Drosophila melanogaster: one gene and its partners. The protein of the gene in region 4 interacts with the protein of the main gene of each other region in a pairwise test. Each region holds a gene or a part of one and is shown on either strand. Other genes may lie near its edges. The genes, in order: ftz-f1, CG15167, Rbp1-like and ps.

Evidence for each region.
Region 1: the proteins of ps (region 4) and ftz-f1 interact in a two-hybrid assay, tested with the Drosophila melanogaster proteins (one large-scale study listed by BioGRID).
Region 2: the proteins of ps (region 4) and CG15167 interact in a two-hybrid assay, tested with the Drosophila melanogaster proteins (one large-scale study listed by BioGRID).
Region 3: the proteins of ps (region 4) and Rbp1-like interact in a two-hybrid assay, tested with the Drosophila melanogaster proteins (one large-scale study listed by BioGRID).

The regions. Positions count from the first base shown.
Region 1 is NT_037436.4:18,797,394-18,803,646, reverse strand, and holds the start of ftz-f1 (ftz transcription factor 1), read left to right. Parts: upstream 1-2,337; 5' UTR 2,338-3,539; intron 3,540-4,791; 5' UTR 4,792-4,915; coding exon 4,916-6,110; intron 6,111-6,253. Other genes in the region: CG14073 (uncharacterized protein), read left to right, coding at 1-584, 650-865. UniProt on the Drosophila melanogaster protein: Acts as a cofactor to fushi tarazu (ftz). Facilitates the binding of ftz to DNA. Binds the sequence element 5'-YCYYGGYCR-3' in the zebra element of ftz. Probably functions as a nuclear receptor for a yet unknown ligand.
Region 2 is NT_033779.5:18,738,197-18,742,422, forward strand, and holds CG15167 (uncharacterized protein), read left to right. Parts: upstream 1-2,161; 5' UTR 2,162-2,213; coding exon 2,214-2,564; 3' UTR 2,565-2,611; downstream 2,612-4,226. Other genes in the region: CG42752 (uncharacterized protein), read right to left, coding at 1,322-1,810.
Region 3 is NC_004354.4:13,379,541-13,386,456, forward strand, and holds Rbp1-like (Rbp1-like), read right to left. Parts: upstream 5,338-6,916; 5' UTR 5,149-5,337; coding exon 4,760-5,148; intron 4,084-4,759; coding exon 3,729-4,083; 3' UTR 2,210-3,728; downstream 1-2,209. Other genes in the region: CG1640 (uncharacterized protein), read left to right, coding at 1-41; Tim9a, read left to right, coding at 5,797-5,856, 5,960-6,055, 6,121-6,252; Ype (yippee), read right to left, coding at 6,804-6,891.
Region 4 is NT_033777.3:9,429,541-9,436,216, forward strand, and holds the start of ps (pasilla), read left to right. Parts: upstream 1-3,061; 5' UTR 3,062-3,181; coding exon of another isoform or gene 3,182-3,299; intron 3,300-4,725; exon of another isoform or gene 4,726-4,863; coding exon of another isoform or gene 4,864-4,882; intron 4,883-6,676. UniProt on the Drosophila melanogaster protein: Functions to regulate alternative splicing in neurons by binding pre-mRNA in a sequence-specific manner to activate exon inclusion.

The DNA of each region.
Region 1 (6,253 bases), on a different chromosome or scaffold from region 4:
AGGAGGCCAAGCAGCAGAGGATGAGCAGCAACAGTGACAGGACCAGCAACTTGAATGGTCTGTTAGCGGAAAAAAAGGAGGAGCAGAAGCCCGAGGATTTGGACCAGGATCGGGTGACAACAACGATCAAGCAGAACGGGGAGACGAGTGCAACAAAGACTGGATCGGCGACTACGACGACGGCAACAACGATGGTTAAATTGGAACTGGGAACCGACGAGGATAGCAATAACAATAAGAACAACGAGGAGCTGAATGCTAATGTGGAAAATAATTTAGTAACAAGCGTTGTGAATGTCAAGAATGAAGTGAAGAAGGAAGTGGAAGCTGAAGCTGAAACAGAAGCGGAAACGGAAACGAATGCGAAAGCAAATACGAATAGTAGCACTAGGCTAGACGAGGATCAGACGGACATCGAGACAATGGATAGTGAATTGAATGGTGATATTTTTGAATTTGAAGAGGCCGATGTGCCCTTGCCACCACTGTACTTGCTCAAAGACGAGGGCAGTGATAAATGGGTACTACTCAATGATTTGTGCAATTTACTTAAAGTTAAATCGAAGGATACGTTGCTTAACAAGGTATGTGCCATTTAGATGCGATATTTAAATGAACTTATAACAAAATCTTGTTATTTTTTTTTTAGCTCTGTCCGAACAACAGCAATGCCTTGGCCAGCAGTCAGAAGCACCTGCTACGGGAGTTCAAGATAGATGATTTCCTGGAGAAAGCCACCTGCCTGCAGCTGTTGTGCGCCGGTGAAAAGCTGAACATGTTCAGTTCGTCGAAGGTTGTGCTCATCAAATACAACGACAGTGTACGGAACTTGTTGGGCGTTAAGACCATTTTAATGAAATTTTAACCGAGATATCTTTAGCGATTGGACGGGGCAAGATCCAGAAAGATATAAATTAGATAATGATGAATGGATGAGCATAGTACTAACTGAACATAGAGTGTAAAGTGCAAACAAATATGGAAAAACTATTAGTACGAATATAATAGTAGATTTATATACTATACATATGTATATTTTAGCTAGTAACTAGTTTTTACTCACACGTCTTTGTCTTTGGAAGATAAAGGATTTTATAAAGGAAATTAAATTTAGAGCTAATGCAAAGTGATACAAAGGTGCTATACACACTCAAAACGAAGAAAAAGGAAATGAATGGAAATTTTAGAGCGAGAATATTGAGAAAATCTGGAATCTTTAGGGATTGGCTGCAATTATGCAATAAAAGTAGAAGAAAACAATGCAAGGCAGTTAGAAACGAGGAAACGAACGGAAAATGTATGCCAGCCAATCAGCTAATAAATTGATATATACTTACAGATAAATCTAGGGATGAAGTGTAATCTATGGTTTTTAAAAAAACAAAACAATCTAGCTAAAGTATAAACTAAATAATAATTATTGTAATAATATTAAAGAAGCAACAAAGGCGTATTTATGTATTATGTATTTTTAAATGAAATTATTAACATAATATATAAAGTATATGTATACACAATATGATCCAACTACAATGTAAATCAATTTTCAGATAGGTTTGTAATTTTCTATGTAATGTACGTGTGTAAGTTTTGTGCAACTATAAAAGGAAACCACAAAAAACTGAAGAAATTTAACAAAAAAAAAAAAACTAATAATGAAAAACAAAATAAATGCAAAGTGAAATTTTGACAATTTAAAAGTGCGGTTTCACTTCAAAATTTTAACAATCTCCTGGCATTTGAAAACAAATATCGATCCAAGCTTTTATTAAACGATTCTTCAAAATTGGTTTAAAAGGTTATTTATATATAATAATAGATGACTGAACAGGTAAGGTCTTAGATAAGTACTTAAATATACTTAGAGGGCCCATTCTTTTGAAAAAGTATAATTATATCTTGTGAATATTTAAATTCGTCTTCTTCTTTTCCTTTTAAATTTGCAATTATTTGAACTAGATAATCTCATTGTATTTTTTATTGCTTATTAAAATTTATGTAATATTTCATTGACAAACCGCCACAGTTTTGAATTTACGATCTATCGATAACTTGGCGATAGGTTCCGGCAGATGTCGCTCTCAAAAGCTCGCCGCACGAGCGGTGCGCTAAACGCGGGTGTGCGTGCATGTGAGTGCTTTCAGCTGAAAGCTTTCCGGTTTTCATATGATTGCCGTCCTTGTTCTTCAAACGATTTTTAAAGGCCAAGAATGCTGCCTCTCTGTCCTTGGCCCCGCTCTTCGCTCCGGTGATCCAACACTATCCCGACCGCGCATGTGTGTGTGCGTGTATGCGCGAGGGCTTTCGGTCTTCTTCTACCTACGCCAACAAACTTTTACTGTGTGTTGTGTTCCCGTTCGAGTTCGACCTAATTTCGCTCGAGACCTAATTTTTGCGTGCGGAATAGTTTTTCCCGAAAAAGTGAAGCCAGCGAATAAACAATAGCTGAAAGTGAGCGATAGCCAAGAAAGTAAGAGTGAAAGTAAACAAAAGCGAAAAGAAGAACAGCTCTGGCGTTAATTATGTGTGTGTACATACGTATATATTTAATATTTCCGATGCGTCCATAACGGGAGTGTGTTCTGGTTTCCAATCGTCGCCCGCGCCCCCGTCATTGCCTATCCGTTTACCAAACCCCAATTTTGGTGTGCAATTGTGTATAAAAATTAACACAAAGTGGGAAGATAGCGTTGTGTCATAGAATTGGAGCAGAAGCAAAAACAAGGCAAAATTAGCAAAAGCCAAGCGGAAAAACAACAACACAGAGTGCCCAGTGGAACCCCAGTACATGTGTGTATATATGTATGTGCGGTGCGAGCGTGTCAGTGTGTGCGTAGCAGGAATTGCAATTTATAGTTGTTGTTTCTGAGAGCTTTCGCTTGTTGCGCGCGTGCGACGATTGTGCAAGAAGTTCTTGGTGTGCGTTCGAAATCGGGAAGAGGAAATCGCCGAGAATAGAGGAAGAGTAAATGGCAATAAATGCAAAATAAATAAAAGAAATAAATAAAAAAAAATATAAATAAATTGCCAAATGCGTTTGGCGTCGCGTGTGTGTGCGTGTTCTGAAATATGCTGAAAGAGCTTTCGGAGAGCGAGAGCAAAAGAGAACGAGACGCCGAGAGATGCGATCGGGAGAAATAGCAACAACAACAACAACGGCAACAGCGACTACGATCGGCGAAATGAATCACACACAAGCTTTGTTTTGCGAATTATAAATTCGCGTTCCGTTCTCCACACATGCGAATTCCCACACTGAGAGCGAGACAGAGACAGCGAGAGAGAGGGAGACCAGCTACGGCTACAAAAACAGAAACAGCAAGAAGACCAAGACATAATAATAGAACTTTTGCTTTCGCTTCCAACTGGTTTTTGTATACATAAAAAGCGAGAGGGGAAGAGACGGAGAAAGAGAGAGACGGACAGCTTCCAGCGCTTCTTCTTCTTCCGCGATCTTCGTCTTGGAATTCATGGAACCGGGCGCATGCGCAACACACAGAACTACAAAAGGAAAAACAACGACGTCAGCTGCATGAAAGGTAAATTCTCAATTCTCCCCGCTGCACGACTTCCTCTCGCTCACCTTTTACCCCCCAAAAACCTCCTTTTCCATTTTGTCTAGTTGGGTGAGCTTTATTTTACTGCACTTACCATCTTTAATGGGAAGTAGGAGCACGGAATGAAATACAGTTTTGACACGAATTTGATTTAAAAACCATCATTATAAGAAAACTTTTTAAATAAAATCACCTTTTTGTTTGTTTAAATAAATTTTACTGGGATCATTATATATATATTTTTTACAAAAATTAATGTGGTTTTAAAAATTTGGATAATAAACTGAAAATTGTATCAGCAGTTTATAGCTTTTTATAGTTTTTTTTTATACATTTTCTCGTATTTTCCACTAAGATATTTTTCTTTTAAAATATTAAATATAAAGTTAATGTCATTTGCTCAATTTTTTTCCGTGGATTACCCGAGGGTTGGTGAGATTCAAGCACGAAAAGTGAAGAACTTGAAGTCGAGTGAAGTTAATTAAAGTATCGTTAAAAAGGGTAACACAGGGCTTAAAAAAATGGGGGAATCTTTCCAGTTGTCTGTTTCGCGAACTGGAAAATTACTGTAAATGGGGGAATAAACAATTTAGCGTGTTAATTTTTAAATGGATTTTATCTACTCGGAAAAAATAATTTGGTTAAAGATGCTTTTAATGCATTAACTTTTTTTTTTTTTATTAATTTTTGTAATCTTGTAAAACAATTGCATTTTTAAAAAAACTTTATTTTTCAATTTTTAAATTAAAGATTCTCGACGTCTATTTTGAAATTTAATTTTTAAACATCGGTTTATTGGTGAAATTGCATTGATACTGATAAAAATAGTTTAGGCACTCCTAAGCTCTACGGAGGTATATATTGTGGACTTTCGACGATTTAGTTAAAAACCCTAAACAATAATTAAATAGTAGAATTATAAAAAAACTGAAATATAACATAATAAATTGGGTGGACATTGAAGTGGTACAGAAAAAGCTTTGAAAGCTTTCTCTCCCCACAAAGAGTTGACCTTGGCCTGCTTCAAATACCATTAGGCCTTTCCTTGGCCCACATTCTCTGCGACCTGACCTTCAACCTGACCTTGCATTAACCTAGGCCTTTGAAATCCTTGTCCTACTTCCTGAAAATTAATATTTATTACTAGAACGGATTGATTTTTGGTTTAGACGGCTTTAAAAACGCTTAGAATTTTTTTTTGATTACTAATAATCTGCTTTATTACCATTTTCAGGTCTTTAAAGCAATTATAAACTTACAACTACTATCGTTACCTGCCATTAAGAATCAACAAAACAAATACCACACATCACAACGAAACGTACAAAAAATAAAAGTTAAATTATATTATTCATAAAATGGATACCTTCAATGTACCTATGCTGGCGGAGAGCAGCAACACCAACTATGCAACAGAAGCTACCAGCAATCATCACCACCTGCAACATCAGCATCAGCAGCAACATTCACATCAGCAGCAGCAGCAGCAGCAACTCCTAATGCCCCATCATCACAAGGATCAAATGCTGGCGGCGGGCAGTTCGCCCATGCTGCCATTCTATTCACACTTGCAGTTGCAACAGAAGGATGCAACTGCAACAATAGGACCTGCAGCAGCAGCAGCAGCAGTTGAGGCGGCAACAACATCGGCAAATGCCGATAACTTCAGTTCATTGCAAACGATCGATGCCAGTCAACTGGATGGAGGCATCTCCTTGAGCGGCTTGTGCGATCGTTTCTTTGTGGCCAGTCCAAATCCCCACAGCAATAGCAACATGACACTAATGGGCACTGCCACAGCTGCAACAACTACCACTACCAACAACAACAATAATAACAACACTAACAATAACAATAACAACAACGTGGAGGCTAAGACAGTGAGGCCATCGAACGGCAATTCGGTGATCATCGAATCTGTGACGATGCCATCGTTTGCCAATATTCTATTTCCCACCCATCGCAGCGCCAACGAGTGCATTGATCCCGCCCTGTTGCAAAAGAATCCCCAAAATCCAAATGGCAACAACAGTAGCATAATTGTGCCGCCCGTCGAATATCATCAATTGAAACCACTTGAAGTCAATTCGTCGACTTCCGTTTCCACCAGCAACTTCCTGTCCTCCACAACGGCCCAATTGTTGGACTTTGAGGTGCAGGTGGGCAAGGATGATGGCCACATTAGCACCACTACGACCACAGGGCCGGGCTCTGGATCGGCATCGGGTTCAGGATCGGGATCGGGATCGGGATCAGGATCGATTGCACGCACAATAGGCACTGCAACGCCCACAACGACAACATCCATGAGCAACACTGCCAATCCGACGAGGAGCTCATTGCACAGTATTGAGGAGCTGGCCGCCAGTTCCTGTGCCCCGAGAGCAGCGTCTCCCAACAGCAACCACACTAGCAGTGCCAGCACCACTCCGCAGCAGCAGCAGCAGCAGCAGCATCACATGCAAAGCGGCAACCACAGTGGCTCCAATCTCAGCAGCGACGATGAGTCCATGTCCGAGGATGAGTTCGGTCTGGAAATCGACGATAACGGAGGTAAGTTCATCTTTTGTATCAAATGATTTATTTACCTCCCCAAAACCATCCTAATTCGAAAGGCAAATTGTTTGGCAAACATTCTGTTGTTGCTGCAAGTGAAGTGATAACGAAGCGGCAAGTGCGAAATAATACAAATACAT
Region 2 (4,226 bases), on a different chromosome or scaffold from region 4:
GCTGATTTTTTTTTTCTTTTTTACACCTTTTTACATCTTGTGGTCCCATACGATTCCACAACTCACCTCTGACGATCCACTGTTCAATTGCTTTCCCAACGATCCATCTTTACCCATGTCACCGATTTGCCGATCCCCCACAACCGTCCACTGGAAGATTAACCAAAGCGAGGAGCGCGACAAAAAAAGAAATAGAAATCTGATATATTTGTCTAACATCTTCGGCATTAAGCTCACCCCCAGCTCAAAAACGCGAGATTTCCGCATTAGAAACGATTTTTTAATTATTATTTTCAGACGCCTACACGCAAAACCGAAACCCGATGGCTTCGAGTGGATGCTCTGCTCAAATGTCAGGCTTATTAATACAACAGCACCAACAGATCTCTTCAAGCTTCAAGTGCTGGGGATTTGTGGCCGGGGTACGAGATGCGAGATGTGAGATCCGAGATCGAGTTGAGGACGCTGTGCATCTTTATGTGGGAGTGCGGGCTCCATTGATGACACGTCATTTGCTGGCATAGACATCTTCGTCAAATGTGTTAAGTTGCGCTAAGAGGGAAAATGAAAACAGGTCTTCCAGTTCAACGGCAAGAGTGTCAGTAAAATGTCATGGAAAGCCACTTAGCTGGGAGTTTTTGATTTTCGATTTTTTTTCTGTACATTTTCTGAATCGGATTCGCAGCGTCCCCACATCCGCTTTTGGAGGAAAATAAATGCACGTGAAACAAGCAATCCGAAAAGGTAGCTAGCTATCAAACATTTGTCAATTTTCCTGCCCGGAGGTTGGTATTTGGTATTTGGTTTTTGGTGCGATTGGTTCTAGCTCGCGGGCAATGCTCAATTACGGTTTTGATTTAAATCAGTCTACTGACCCCAAAAGTTCAGCTACGGAAATTGCAAATTTAATAATTGACTGGCTCAGAAAACTGTAAAACCCAAACCAGGGGGCTTATTAATGCGATAACCTTGGCTGATTTAATTTCTGCCGTCTATTCGCCGGGCCTGTGATTATCCAGCGAACAAGAAAACCAAACCAAGCCAAAACAAAAACAAAAACAAAAAAAAAATACAAACAGCGACTTCCATAACAACAAAAGGAAAATCAAAACTTGCACAATTTCGACACTAAACGGCGATGTCTGGGCCACTCTTCGAGTGCCTCCGAGCTGCCAGTTAGTCGCATATTTAATTAAGAGATTGAGTGCCGCAAATAGTGTTGAACAATGGCCAGCACGAGTCGCATCCACACTGCGAGAAATCACTGCGACTAAAGAGAATCGGGAATTGTGCTGGCATAGTCTTAGCTATATATTGTCCATTAACAATTGACGAAATATTTTAAGTTAAAGAAGTCGGAATATTTTGCGAACAAGGCTTTAGTTGCCTCGGTTTCCTCTTCCGGTTCCGGTTTTTGATTCTTGAACCTCAGAAAGCAGTCCTCGTATATATCTCCCAGAAACTTGGCGCCCTTAGGAACTCTATCCTTAATATTAAATTTCTCTTTGTTCGGATTGAAGCATAACTCGTAGGCTGAAAAAGTGACTCGTTGGTTAAAGGGTTCTGGAATGCAAAACCTCAGAAGGTAGGGCTTTATCCGGTTTAAATCTTTCCGCTTGCCATCCATCACTCCAAATGCTTGTTTGCCCCCGTGGGTGAATACTATGTATCCGGTTATATGGTTTTTGTGGCAATATTGAAGAATTCGACGCGGAAATTGGTTCCTTGACATTATGTTGTACAACTTAAACTCGGTCCTAAGTTGAATATCCTCATTGAACATCCAATCGTAGGACCCTAATAATGTCATTTCTTGTTTAGTTTTGCTGAAAGATATGCAAATAACTTAGGGCTATAATTTTGGATTGTACTGAGTGTTAAGCTAAATTTACTGGCGTGTAGGTTTGTTTTTAAACTAAATTGATTAAACTGATGACTTACGCAAAGCATAATTATTAATTGACATTTTGTTTTAAAATACGTTTCCTGATAGTTTATAAAAATACTTTTTACGAAAATCTATATAAATATAAAAGTATAGCATTTTTAAAGATTCAGAATTTGTTTTAAATGCTTACCTTTGGATGGATCAGTGATGTTTACTCCACGCAAATTTTTCGATTATATATCATCAGCAGAGTAACTTAGGAAATCTGGATCATTTATTTTCAAAAGCCGTGAAAACTCACATACTCAAATTTCCATTCCCAAAAATGTCGCTGGAACTGGTACTCCAACCGCAGCCAGAGATCTACCTATTAGCGTATGAAATGAGTGTGCCCGAAGATTCCGATGAGGCCCTGCTTTCAGTTGTGGCCCACAAAGCCGCAGAACTTAAGGTGTGTGGCTACATCGCGCATACGCACTGTGGCCGCAAAGTGGGCGGCGAACTGGAGGGCAGCTCTGCTGGCCTGCAGATGATGGTCGAGTGGATGCAGGCTAGGAGCCAGGGGAATCATCTCGGGGACGGGGAGAAGATCAAAAGCCAGATGAAGGAGCCACGATTCTCGAAGTGGAAGCTGCAATCAGGGGCCCCCAAATACGATGTTTTCTTCTGTTGCTGAGTGCTGACGAGAGGAGTTGATTAAAAATCGCAAATTGCATTGGCCCCAGAATATTGTTTCGAGTGCATTTTCATCTCATAAACCATAACAATCAGTGTCGGCCGCTGCTGCTGCTGCTGCTGCTGCTGTTGCTGATGTTGCCGCTGCTGCAGTTGGGCCATTGAACAATAGCCCGGCTGACTCGAAGCTGACTTTTCAAAGTCAAAAACGCGATTGTATCATCAGTATTTTTCGGGGCGCGCTCCCTGCCTCTGCCTTTGCCTCTGCCCCTGATTTTTCGTTTTTTTTTTGTCTAACCATTTTCAGATTTTTCCGCTCGGCGCTGGCAGATAAAGTAGAGGAGCCCGAGTTGCGGCGAAAAACAATCGAATCAATTCATTTTTCTAGGGCGTACTGTGCCACTTGAACGTTGAACTGCAGACGCCCCAATGCTGACTACCGCTGAGGTTTCGCTTTTGGGCTTTCCATCTCCTCCGGAGTTGCCATTGTCTGCTATCAAGACGGCAGCACGGTCTTGATCGTGCCCCGGCACTAGTCATTTTAATTTTTCAAGATTTTCCGAGCTCGGCGCTGCGCGCTGTGCTGTGCTTCTGCGCATTTCGCAATCTGAACTCTATAAATCTCTCGTGCCGGTGTGTTAGATTTATGGGTTATGGGCCAAATGGGAGCGGGCCAAGCCAAATGTTCTACGGACGGCACAGAAATCGGCGATCCGGGCGATTCAATTAGATCTAAACGCTGTCAACATCCCGGCACTAATAAGCAGCAACATTTCGGGCGAGGGGTGGCCACAGCCCGAAAAAAGTGTAAATAAAACCAAGAGTGTCGTCTGGCCTGTGTCTGTGGCATAATGTTGCATAATATTTTATGCATGCAGAGCTGGCAGATTGCAACATGTTGCCATGTTGCAGCTCCAACTTCGACGCCGGCCCCGGCCGATGATGATGATGATGATGCATAGCCCCAAGAATCGCTGAGACAGCCAAGCGCGCTGTGGCGCCCCTCCCTGAATCTCAATCTGAATCTGAGTCTGGAAATCCTGCAAACCTTCGCGACTTCCAGCTGTGTGTGCCCGGGCTCAAAGTGTGTCGAATATTCAAGTGAAAATTCCGCCCCAGCCCCCAAAGACCCGCTGCGATGCATCGCGGAGTCCTCCAGAGTGCGGCGCTTCGATGACGTTGAGCTGGGATTTGAATTTCGGATTCGACCATGTGTTGGTTGGTGTCTCTCTGCCCATGCAGGCATGCCCATACATCGACACGGAGAGAAATCATAATCTGCACAATCATGATGTATTTAATTGTATATTAGAAACTTTAAAAACTGTAAATATTATAATACTTATTCTGTTCGATAATATCATTTAAATTTAAATGGTGCAATGCTTGTTGATCATTAGAAGTATGTAATTTTGTTGGCAAATAATAGGTAAAATTGATAGGTACGAAATACAAATATGTTATATATATTGAAAGAAACACAATAGTTGGTGACTAATTAATGTAGTTATTAATGCGTGTTATTTTTTTTTACTGCACATGCATCTGCCGGTTATGGGATGTATCTACATATCGTATGGTATCGTATCGTATCCATAGGTGGGTAGCTCAGAGTCTCAAGCGATGGCGTTATTCCCTGGGTCTTGGTCTGGTATTTGATTAG
Region 3 (6,916 bases), on a different chromosome or scaffold from region 4:
TCCGTGTGTTCCACGCCGAGTTCATGAAGAAGTACAAGTAGATCAGCTGCCAACTTCCCCGTCCTCGATCCCTGTGTTAAGTGTCAATCCTCCGGCTTAGGATTAAAAATTTAAATTACCCTAATTGTTTTTTTTTTTTCCTCTTTGTTACTGTGTCATAGCTGAATGCTTCTAAGCTCTTCTTTATATGCATATATAGATATATATGAGAAATATATAAAAACATTTTTAAAACCCTATGATTTGTGAACCCAACCCGCGCAGGTTTTATCGCCACGATAACGTTTCCAGTTAGCAATTAACCCACTTAACCATGTAGTCTTTGATTCTTAATTGAACGAAAACTCCTGGCGGAGATTTGACAATAATTTTTGTTAGAACCAAAAGTAGTTTACCATCTTTTGGTCGGCGCATAATTGAAAATTCTGATATTGTTCTAAACGAAAGTTATTTGCATTGTGTATATTTATATTTATCTACACATAAATATATATAGCCCTGCATGTGCTTATCCCCCGCGAATCGATCACGAAAATCATATGATGTGTGTGCGTTCAAGTCATTACTAATTGTTATAGACAAGAAGAAACTTTGAAAATAAATAAATAATTATTATTGTTAAGCCAGCGCTGCGTTAATTTCAATTTGGGCAATGGGTATCCTTTTGTAATTTGTTTTTAAGAAAAGCTGAAAATCCCGACATTCCCATTAAAAACACCCATTGTGTATATTTTCGGTTTTAAATTAGGTTCAATTTATTGATTCTCATTTCACGACTTATGTAACTACTTGCACTTACGCCAAACAATCGCATATAGTACCTTTTTTTCACTTTTCTCTTGACATGTTTTGTGTTGCGACAGATTTAGGGTAAAAACCAAGTGGATAAATAATTTAGGTTCGCGGACATACAATAAATTTACCTTTGACATCCATTGTTCATCGGATGCCTCACTCTTTGTGTGTTGTAGTTGTAGTTGCGCTGGTGGCTTGTTCTTTTTATCTTTTCATTTTCTGAATTAAAATCTACCAAAGTCTTAAGGCCTAAAAACCAATGTGTACCATAGTTGTACTGTGGCTATACTAGCGAACCATTCGGATCGAAGAGATGGCTGGGTTGTGTGGTGGTCTTTTGTGAAGTTGCTCGATACCTTTTTTTTTTTTGTTTTTTGGTTTTGTTCTCTGTGGGGGGGGGGGGGTTATTATATGGAGGGGGACGAATTTATTGAGTCAAACTTCAGAAATCTGTTGAGCCATTTTTCGTCTGGCAAAACAGATCCTTTTTGTCCTCAACTCTGGGGCCGTACTACTTTATGTATATATCTCTGTATATGTATAATATATATATATATCTATATATATGTGTGTGTTGTGGAGTCCAGTTTTGGGCTGCATCCCACTACTACTCTTCTCATCTAATGGCGGTCCCTGGAGTCGGAGCGACTGCGACGATCCCTCGAAAAGCTGCGGCTGCGTGTCCTTGAGCGGCGGGGTGAGCGTGATCTGCAATGAAATGGGTAGCGTTTGGGGAAAAACATATTGGGCCCGGCACACACATACAGGACACAGAAAGAGAGAGGTGAGAAAGAAAGAGAAAGAGAAAGAGAAAATACAAATTAAATAGATTTTGCACCAATGAGTAACTTAACTAGTCGTGTAGTTAGATAACAATTCCTTAAGATACGTAAAGTTGATAAGAGTGGTCTCGATCAAACAACACACAACTTGGGCTGACGGATCTGGTGGATCGGATACGGATCGGAGAGCTGACATTGGAGCTTTAATTTGAGCTGAGCGGAGCTGAGAGCTGGCAGTAATTTTTTTCAGTTTTTTTTTTGGTGGCTGAAGGTGCTTGAAGGTGGTGGAGATATAGCTGATATATATATATATATATATATTTTTTTTTTGCCCCATTAACGAAAGCGTTGGTGTGACATTTACATAAAGTAATTGGTGGTGGTTGGTTGGATTGGTGGCTGATTGGTTTGTTGGTAGGTTGCTTAGTTGGTTGATGAGCAGAGCAGACTGAGAAGGCTGTTGTTGTTGTTGTTGTTGAATTGTAGTAGTAGTAATAGTAGTAGTAGTAGTAGTAGGTTCTTGTTGAACTGTTGTAGTTTGGGCTGTTGTTGTTGATACGATACTGAGCTGATTGACTGTGACTAGGGTGGCTGTGTTGTGTTTCTATTATTATTATTATTTCTTTTTTTTTGGTGTGTGTTGTTGGTGGATATATTGGTGAATCATTCTATTCTGTTGCAGCAGCCGAAGAACGTAGGTCGTATGAAGAAGCAGTTGGTGGGGAAGCATCAGTTAGCAGCAAGAGAGGATCAGGTTGGTGGTTGTGGTTTGGTGGTGGTGGCGGTGCAGCTCCTACCATCCGCGCTGTGAAGTTGCGAGCTTGAAGAAGATTCTGCCCTGCCCTGAACTGCTGATGCTGCTGGTGCTTTGGTCGATTGTTGGTGGGGTCGTTTTGTTGGTGAACTGTCTGACTGTGAGTTCGAGCTGATCGGATCAATGCATATAAACACACATTTACACAATATACTTGTATATTACACACAGAGAGCAGACAATTAGCGCGAACAAGATTATCTCAGTAGATGTTAGGATGCAAGAACAAAAGGTAAAAAAAAAAACAACCATAATTACAATTACGAGTATAACAAACGGATTTTGTTAGAGGCGTTACGTTACGTTTCGTTTCGGTTCGAGGGACAGTGTTGTTGGTGGCGGCCAAAGGTTTCATACTTGCTGCGATTGAAGGAATTAGCATGAAGCAGCCTCAATCTTGGTTTGATTGCAAGGGAAAGGTGCAACTACTGAGTGGTGGAACCAACAAAAAGTCTACCAAAGGCTTTTCAGCCTCGAGATCGATTTGCTGACTGGCTGCCAGATGTTCTTGTTGTAGTAGTAGTAGTAGTAGTAGTAGTAGTAGAAGTAGAAGCTGTTGTTGCAGTTGGTCTTTGTAGCTGTAGCTTGTTGCTGATGCTGTAGCTGCACTAAAGATGACGGATGATGAGGTGGTGGGTGGTTTGTTGGGGACGTAGGAGCAGGCTGAAGACAACCGCACAACTTGGAGACGTAGGAAGTTGACTTTTTGAAGCGTTGCTGGACTGGTGAGTGTGTGTATAATATATATATAAATATGCAATAGATGCATTTTGGCATTTGGATTCTTGATGAAGTTGCTCTGTTGCCGCCGACGATCGGTTCGCTCTGGTTCTTGGTGATTAGTGTGGTTAATGGCTGTTTGTGTGAGTGTGTCTGTTGTGTAGCCTGAAGATGTTGCCAACTAACAGACTATAAATGATGTGGAAATGTGGAATGCACTGTGGGGCATACGACCATCTTCGTTTGCTAAATCCTATTTATATTCCAAAGCAATATTCTGTTATTTGACAAAGAAAAAAGACCAACGTTTAGCAGCTAAATCCTATTCAAAATAGGCATAGATCGAAGATTACTTAAATCGTTTTCTTTTCTTTAGTTTGTAGCTAGTCGTGTGCCCCATAGTGGAATGTATAGTTAGGTGACTGTGGGTGGTGTTCGGTCTGGTTTTGGGTGCATTATTCTTGAAGCTGCGGAGCCGAAGACGTTGCTGATGATTCATTTTTTTCTGTTCTGTTTTTCTTTTTTTTTTTTTTTGCCTGGGTTGAGCTGAACAGGTGGTGGAGGGGGTGTGGTAGTGTTGCGGTCGTTCGGTTTGGTTCTGGTTCTTGGTTTTGTGGTCAGCGGAATATATCGAATTTGTTGAATTTCTGGTTAGGGCCGCACAACAAATTGTTATTGCATGGTGGTGGTGTAGTGGTGGCTGTAGTTGTTGTTGTTGTTGGTGAAATGTGTGTAATAGGAGGAGCAGGATCTGCTGTTGTACTAGTTGTTCTTGTAGTAGCTGTTGTTGTTGTTCTTTTGGTTGTTGTTGTTGAAGGAAGAGGAGTAGTAGAAGTTCTAGTAGTAGTAGCTGTTGTTGTTTTTTCTTTTTTCTTTGTTGTTCTTTTAATTATCATTATTATTATTATTATTGATGTTGTTGTTGTAGTAGTTCTTGTTGTGCTTGTTGTAGTAGAAGAAGAAGACTTTATCCTGCAAAATGATTGTGAGACCACATTAAAACTGGCTCCAAGCGATCGATTTACTTTGTTTTTACTAAGTTTTCTTGTATTTTCTTTTCATTTTTCTTGTATTTTGTAATTTTACTAAAAACAACAAACAAAACGTTTTCTCTAGTTAAAGCTATACTCTTTGAACTTTAAACTATGGACCTCGGGGTGCATATAATGAGCAATGAAATGTGATACTAAAACAAGATTCCCCTTAAAAAACAAAATACGAGCTAAAAAGAATCGATTGACGTAGCAAAAGCAACCAGGACTGTCGGCCACGGACGCCACTGTGTGCGCGCGGTAGGACTGTTCTTTTTCACGGACGCCACTGTGTGTGTTTATGTATGGCTAACAGTGGTGTCCCACCGTATGTGTGACTGTGTGTATTTTGGCTGGCACCGCTTTTGTATGTATACGCGAATCGATTTTTCACATGCATACATACACACAAGCACACACGCTATATAAATATGTATACATATGTTTATTTATATATATATTTTTGCATACTTTTTTGCACATAATGGCAAAAATTATGATTTCATAATCTCGAGAGAGGGGTAGTGGTAGTAAGTGGGTGCTTTGGTTGGTTGGTTAGTTAGTTTATCTGGTTTATTCTGGGGATGCAAAATGTAATGCTTTTGTGCCGTACTCACCTATAGCGTCCACCGCCATCGCCAGCCCTTCCACCGCCTCCAGCACGGGCGCCACTGCCACCGCCGCGGCCGCCGCCACCGGATCCGCCTCCACCACCGCCGCCTCCACCGCCACCGCCGCGACCCTCTCGTGAACGGCCTGATGACATTTCGACACGGATGCGGGTGCCACAGCAGCGGGTGCCGTCGAGGCCACGGGTCGCATCCTCAGCGTCGCGACGATCCTCGAACTCGACGAAGGCGAAACCGGGCGGATTGCGGGCCACCCAGACGTTGCGCAAGGGTCCGTATTTGCTAAAGGCGTTCTCGATCTCGTATTTGGAGGCCGAGGATCCCAGATTGCCCACGTAAACTTTGCAGGCTAAATCCCATTCACGGTAGCGTGGCATTATGTATGAATATGTATGTGGCTGGAGGTGCTGCTCCTCCGGTTCTGTAATGGATTTTTGGTATTTGTTGTACCACTGGACTTGTCCAAAGTCAATTTTCCAGTTTGTTTTGATGCTATTCCGAGGGAATTCTCCTTGGTTTTTCAAAGAGCACACCCACAAAGCAGGAGCAGAAAAAAGTGTTTGTGAGGAAAAAAAGATGGCGTGCCCTCCAGTGTTGAAAAGTGAACGAGGTGCAGTACCGTAAAGCGCTGACCATAAGATATGCGACTATCGATATTTTATAGGAATATCGATCTTTGAAATATCATTTTATTCTATTTAATAGTTTAAATTAAATGTTTCACAACCTAAGGGTACTTAGTTAAAGTATTATTATAAATATACCTTAATTTATGTATGGATACATTTGCTTAATTTCATATACCCGATGTTAAGAGTAAAACTAGATGTGGTTAATTTTTGAGTCGGCCGAACCAGATACTTCACATAACATACTTCAAAAGATAACATATCGATAAGTCGAGAACACGGAATGGCTTTTTAACATCTGGCAACCCTGCACACCCAGCTGTCCCTATTATATAGGCACATTATTATTGGCCCTTTTTCGTTTCGGCAATTTTGAATAAAATATCGCAGAACAAAATGGCTAAGACACCGGAAAACATAGCCATCGATCAGTTGGACAAGGATCAAATTAAGACGGTAAGCAGAGTTGACACGAAGATACCATCTCATGCCAAGGACCGGCGGTGCCAAGTGATGCAATGTGGTTTTCATTTGATATGTTTTCGGTTCTAACTTTCAGTTTTCCGACTTCCTAATGTCCTACAACAAACTGTCCGAGACGTGCTTCACAGATTGCATACGCGACTTTACAACGCGGGATGTTAAGGATTCCGAGGTGAGTGCCCGTGGGGAAGCTCCATGTGGAAATCAGCGATTTCAATATGCCCATCCATTTCACAGGAGAAGTGCTCGCTGAACTGCATGGAAAAGTATCTGAAGATGAACCAACGCGTCTCGCAGCGTTTCCAGGAGTTCCAGGTTATTGCCCACGAGAACGCACTGGCCATGGCTCAAAAGACTGGCAAACTTTAGGTGTTATAGCTGTTACAAACAATCTTAACTAGTTTAGACAACTGAGATGATGCATTTTCCTGCATTTGTCAAAATAGCTGAGTAAAGAAACGCGTTGACGGAATCCCGACGATTATTATCTACTATTCGATTATTGTGGTACTTTATTGCTGATTGATTACGGCCTAGAGATCTTGTTTGAAAAAGACAAGTGTGGATCATCAGTTTCGAATATGTTCCAGCTGAGTAGCAGCCCATCTTTTTCGTTTTAGCACTTCAGCCTCATGACATTTAAATGGTAGAATTGGGCGCCGCAGCTGCTTACGTGCTAGATGTGCCTACAATTACGTTTAAGTCACGTTAAGACAGGGCCGTAGTCGCATGTGCTCCGTGGCGGATGTGCAACCGATATATCGGTCTTCGGTATCCCGAACACCGGAGCCGACTACGGCGATCTCTAATCTAGGTCTAATGCATAGAGGCCATCGCCTGTGGCCATCTACTCAATACTTAGGGCTACACAAGGTTCGCCAATGCGTGGTTCCCGTTTTCCGGCTGTATATTCAATCGGCTCAATGACTCGTGGTGGCGGCCTCCGACGGAAAGCCCTCTGCCTCTGTGATCAGGGCGTACTCCAGGATAACGCGACCCTCCTTGTATCTAAGAGATAAATTGGAGCATTAGT
Region 4 (6,676 bases):
TTGAAAGCTGTTCCAATATGTTGTATACCACACACTATATGCCACATACATACATGTATTCAACTTGTGCCTAGAAGTTAGATAACACATTTCATGCACACAAGTATGTATATGCAACCTGTTCCAAGGCGGACCTCCCCCATTTCGTACGCCCACTTTCGCCATTCGAACGACTTGAAATGAATATTGTGCCGTCGGCGGAATATCCTTGGGCTGATTGGAGAGTGAATTTCATGCTGCAGCTGTTTCCAATTCATCACCATTAACACATTTTCGGCTTGAGTGCATCAATGCCGCTTTCTTGTTGTTTGGCGCTCACGGCTTTCGTTCTAATCATCGTCACAGCGAAAAGAATGAACGATAGAAAAGTATTTGGCTGCAAGTTTCCCAAATCCCATTTGGCCCGCTGCATTTTTCAAGGACACACAAAAAGTGAAAAATGTCGAGCACTTTGCGTGCTTGCCTGCCATGTGGCATGTGGCATGGTGCATCTCTGGGGACTTTCGGTGGCGGCACACTTCTCGGAGGTTTGGGACTGAGCGACCTGCAGCTGAAATTTGAATTTGCGACTTTTATTCAGAATTCGAGACGCTCGCCTCGAATGAGAATTCTTCTACGAACGTCAGCGAAACACAATAAATAGCCGATCGAAAAGCATTAGGTGAATTAATTGAAAAACTCAAATGCCAAGTCGAGGCGCAAAAGCAACTGGTTCTCTCACAATAAACGAAAACCCGTTTTATAGCGCAGGCCATCGCATCTCCTGCTAAATCGATCTTAGTTTCTTGATTTTTGTATTTGTAGTCGCACTAATTTCTTAAGTAAATGCAAATTTGTGCGACCTACCTGTTTTGTTCTCTGTTTTGTACTGCGCTGACGACAGGTGCTGTGATTACACTTCGACAAATAGTAGATACTTAAGTGATTATATAATAGATTGTTTGATATTGGAAAATTGTTAGCTAGAGAAGTAGTGCGCCTTAATGATGCATAGAAATAAAGTAATACTTTCGCATTAAATGATATAACTTAATGCTTCTACACTTCAATTTTTGTTCTTGTTCCTGTGCAGCGCATGCCATACAGTTGCAAACGCGTATCTATCAGTACGCATTCTGCCGTGTATCTATATATCTGGGCGCATGCTTAGCATTGAACGACGGTGGCTTTTGCCATCTCTTCGATTTATTGCTCATTTTGTTTTGTGGTCGGTGCTAAGCGGGCACGAACAACAGCAAAATGAGTAAAAAAAAACTTTTTCAATGGTCAAGGTCGTTTGCAGTCAAATCGAATAGCCACAACGCACACTTGAGCCCCAGCACTACCAACAGAAATAACATATAAAAATGTTTGTATAATTAAACGCCATTTTAAACAAATAAACGCGCGTCGTCAGTCGTTGATGCAGATTTTGTTGTTGCTGTTTCTGTTGGTCGCGCTTCGGTTTTTGTGTCGTCGCATTTTTAATTAGCAATGAAATCATAATAAAATAAAACATCTCATGCATAATTGAGTTGCAAGTTGGGGCTTCATTGCCATGCCATTATGAAAAAAAAAAAACAAAACTGGCTCAGGTATTCATAAGTAACTAAAACTGCTTCGTGGGTACGGACTCGTTTAGATAGGTCTTAGGTGGAACAAATTTAAATTAACGATTCATAAGCGCAGTAGAGTGAGTTATTATTAGCATCGCGGTACGGCAGGATTTCTCAACATTTTAAATTGGCCAGCATTATGTCGAACTCAACGGATTAAGTAATCAGTATAATCAGTATTATAGTAACAAATAAAATAGGTAGCTGTAAGATCCTAAATATAAGGTGTAGGTACCGAGTTTTCGCAGACCTTCTAACCTCATACACACACACGGGATCCTTTCTTATAGGGGGCCTGCTTTCAAAACTATTTCTGCGGACTCCTGTAATTCATCCTGTCGTCTGCTTTCCATTATTACACGTTCTCAACGCTCACAAGATTGCTTCAAACCGATCTGTCTCTATCCCACATCTGCCTGCCCCGGTATCGTTTTGATATGTGAATGCCTAACACGATCCACGCTTTTGAAAGATCCGCCCAGTCCAACCCGAATCCCGCCACGCCCCTTTTTTCCACCAATCTCGCAAGATGCCTTGCTCGTTTTGTAAATAGCTTTTTTGAAGACGAAAGATCAAGACAAATCAAATCAAATCGATCCAATTTAAATGTTTGTGCCTATCTAAATGTGTGTGTGTTTTACTACTCGAAAAATGCATTGCCACTCTGACAACTGTATCTATATCTACAAGTTTAATGCGAAGAACATACCTATATATTGCCTAAATGTTTACTGTATGTATATTTATTATTGCTGCATAATTCACTCATAAATATTTTTTTCTTTTTCTTTTTTCATATAAACGTTAAAAAAAAAAACTCGCACATTCCACCACAAAACCACCAAACAAAAACTAAAAATAAAAAACTAAATGAAATTAAAACTGAAACATAGAAGGATCGTAAATAGAGTATCAATATATGTGCATATGCATATATAGCGACGTACACGAACTGTCTCTGTCACTGATAGCGATCGATAGCTGTACCTCCATGTGTGTGCATGAGTGGCAGCATCAGTAGCGTACCCAAGGACCAAGGACCTCATCCACATAGCCCATCAATCTCACAGATGCCAGTGGCGGATTCCCCCCGATAAAGGCATCGAATCGAATTACATCGCATCCATTGGACGAGGACGAGGACTAGGACTAAAGGACAGTGACTGACGCATCCTGCGCTCGTTTGATCGTTCGTTCGCTCGCTCGCTCGCTCTATCGCTCTTTCGCTCGCACGCACCAAAAAAACCAAACAGAAATACCAGAAACAATACCAAGCAAGCCAAAAACCAAATAATACAAAGCTAAACAGACGCCTCATTACCAAACATCGAACGTTTCGTTGTCGTTTAACAAAAAAAAAAAAAAAAAAAACCAGAAGCACAGCAACCAAATTCAATTCAATCAAATCAAGTCCAAGCCAATCCAATCCAATCCAAGATCCAATTAAATTAAATCAAGCCGAATCCACGAGACATAGAAACTGAAAAGTAAACAGTAAGATCAACAGATCAACGAAACCCAAAGCAAAAAGCTAAAGCAATCATCAGTCAAAGTCGATAACCAAAACCAGCAACATTCAGTTAAAAATGGCCGAAGACGCTACCATGGAGACATGTCCAAGTCCTGAAACCGGCGACTCACGCAAAAGGCCACTCGATTCCGATCCGGAAAATGAACAAACTAAACGCTCACATTTCAGTTCCGGTAAGTTGACCAAAATCCAATCCAAATCCAAATCAAAATTCAAAATCAAATTCAAATTCAAATCGAAATCAATATCGAAATCGAAACTCAATTCATTTCGCCAGCAGAAGGAAGAAATTGAAATATATATCTCAAATCGCTCTTGCATATCCCCATTATCGTGCTCTCTCTTTTTCTCTCTGTCAATCTCAATCTCGATCTCAATCTCAGTTTCAATATCAATCTTAAGCTCCTCAACTCGACGCTCTGTGTATATCTATCTCTCGTTCGTTATCTATTTATCTATCCATTGCTTTTTTATCTCCGAAGCGTATAAATAACTGATTCAATTTGTTTGCCCAACTTTTCTGCCGATCGTGCCGTTTCCCTTCTTTATTATGTGGTCATGTTGTTGTTGTTGTTGTTGTTATCACAATATATCCCCCCGATATGCGTACCTACATATATCTATGTATATATATACTTAGTATCTATGATTTTCTTACTTTTTTCTTTTAGTCGTTTGTCGCTCGTGTTATTTATTGTTGCTGTTGTCGTTTGTTATTCAGATTCAATTAATCAGCACGAGAAATTCATTTGCAGTTTGCCCCCAATACGTTCGATGTCAGTTTTGCAACCGAACAAACGAACCAACGAACGAACGAACAGGCAGCAGACTTTGATTCGTAATTAAGCCAGATATGGCGTATACGCCCCGAGGGCCCCCTCTACACGTACACAGCTACAGTGTACATCTTAAAATGACAACTGGCATCTGTTATATGGCATACAGCGGTATCTAGTACCTAGTGTAGTATCTGCCTGGCTGGCGGCTGTATCTTTGCGCAGGATTTGGCGCCGAGACATTGTGGGCCCAGTTTGACCCAATTTTGGGCATGACCTCCGCCTGCAATCTCCTGCAGCTTCATCAATGGCCTGCAATTAGATACAAGTGCTGTCCGTGCACGTCCCTGAACGTCCAAACGAATGGCATTTGAAAAGCTCCTCCCTGCTTCACTCATCCGACAAACTGAACTGCAGTCGGGACAGCCGAGGGGGTCACAAAAATTCATATGGAGATTAGCATTTAAAAGAAGAAGCTCCCAATCCGTGAGCTCCATTGCCAAACCCATACTGCCTGTCTGTCAGTCAGTCTGTCGGTCAGTCGGTCTGACCACAAGCTATTAACTAGTTGCTTTGCATGATTTGTTCGGCTCAAAACCAGCTGGCAAGCTCCAAGGTGAGCATGCCACTACGCAATCGAAGTACCTGTCGTCATAGCCACGAAAATAGCAAAAGGTGTAAGTGTTAGAGTCGCACTGTCGCCCCCGCTGGCTTTTGGTATTTAGACGGATAGCAGTGGCTAGAGCCAGAAGCGTGTAAACGTGTTTTCGAGTTTCCTAATTGTCAATTGGAAATTATGAAGGGTAGATTAGTCCTCGGTTTTCGTTCATCACAGCAGGCTCTCTCAAATACGTCAAGTGTTAAAATCCCAAAAAAAAAAATATCTACAGAAAATAAAACAAAATTCCAGTGTTGTCTTAATGTTGCATCAAAAATTTTAAGTTTTATCTCGTGAATTGGAATGCGGAAGCTTTGTTCGAGTAAGTTCAAGTTCGTTAAATAGGCAAATATAACTTATTTCCATATACTCCACTCCATTCATTAAAGCAGACACTATATTATATGCTCGGGGACATCCATAGTTAATGGGTTAGTTCTGCCTAAGAATTTGTTTGCTTATGAACAATGCCATTTTATCAGCTGTTTGTTTGGCCAGTTTCCATTCAAACCGATGGCATTATAGATGAGCCCAGATAAATAGATTCGTTACATGTATGTGTACAGCTGGGCATTTGTAATTAATTAGCCACCATTGAGGCTGCCTGTTTGCTGGACAGAGAACAGGTCCATGTCATATGGTTTTGGGTATTTACTCACGTCGTCGTTTTATTAGTTTTCTGGCAATTTATTTGCTTAGCTGCCTTGACAGTCATTTGTTTTTTGTGTGCTATCTATTTAATTTTTTCAGTTTTTTCTTATTTATGACTGTCATGGCTGGAATTCTGTGTAGCTGGTTGGTGAGAGAGCAGCGCAAAGTTTTTGAGATGCACAGAGAAAAATAATCTTCTTAAATTCTAATAAGTATTTAAGGTGTAAGGTTTTAAAGTTTAATCCAAAGAAGTTAGGAAATTCAAACAACTTTTTGTCAACAATTCTTTTAAGCAAGAATTCAACTCTTTACCATATACTTAATTTTTTTTTGACTTATTGTTTTCCGTGTAGCCTGGACTAGAAATGCGTCAGTTGGCGGGGCTGCTGCAAAGGAAATGCAGTAAAATCGAGGAAAATCGGGGCGGTGGGTCAGCGTGGAGGTTTTGGACGACTGGTGGCGTGGCTTATGTAATCAGTACTGGCAGGGCAGCTGGAAAAGCGTGCGAATAGTTGGGGGTGTATACTGTAGCGAACTCTAGTTCGCCGTAAGAGAGAGAAGCGAGAGCTGCTCTCGGCAAACGTTGACAGCATGGCAAGCGGTTGACCTACTTTGATGACAATGCGGGTGCGTACGTGTATCTGTATCTGTATCTGTGTGTGCCTGTGGTCGCTCCGCTGCCATCGCTGCTTGCCTGCCTGCCTTTGCTCGGTGCTTTTCGTCTAGGAAGGGTCCTGCGCAGTAGGACGACTCGAACTCCTCGAACGCGGCGACCATTCAGCTGCACTGCAGCATTTGGCGCCATTGCAGCTGCCACAGCAGCCGATGCAGCCGCAGCAGCCGCAAACGCAGCAGCAACGTCCTTGAGTGGTGGGTCCTGTAGAACTGGGTTGGTTGCCTCGATGGCAGGCTGACTGACTGCCTGGCTGGCTAGATGCAGCAGCTGAGAATGTGGTATGGCAGAATGGCAGTATGGCAGTGTGGCATGGTTGAATCTCAAGTGCGTTTACTGCCTAGGGGCTGTGTGCTCTCTCGCACTCTCACTGTTTTGGCCACAATCTGAACTGATATCTCTGTGTCGTGTTTTTGGGTTACCTTATTCTTAGGTGCATTCCATTGTTGCGGCTCGAGTGGCCAGGCATTTGGTGTGACTGCACTTGTAGAGCATCTCGAGTGGCCTACTAATAACTCAAGGGGCCAGGCAGTTTGACATTCTTTTCGGGCCAGTGATTAGGACAAGCCCGGCTTGCCTCAATAATTGGGTCATCTGAAGTCCTTATATTACGCATACGCAGCGTGGGTCAGTCCCAGTGGTAGCACAACTTGAACTCACAACACTTTTCTCGTATTTCACAAGCTCTGTTAGTTGTTCCTATCTTGAATAATTGTAATTGTGTAATCTTAAAGATTAAAACTAACAACGGGGCAGACTAACTCGCTTTGATCCCTCTTCTCGCCATTAATA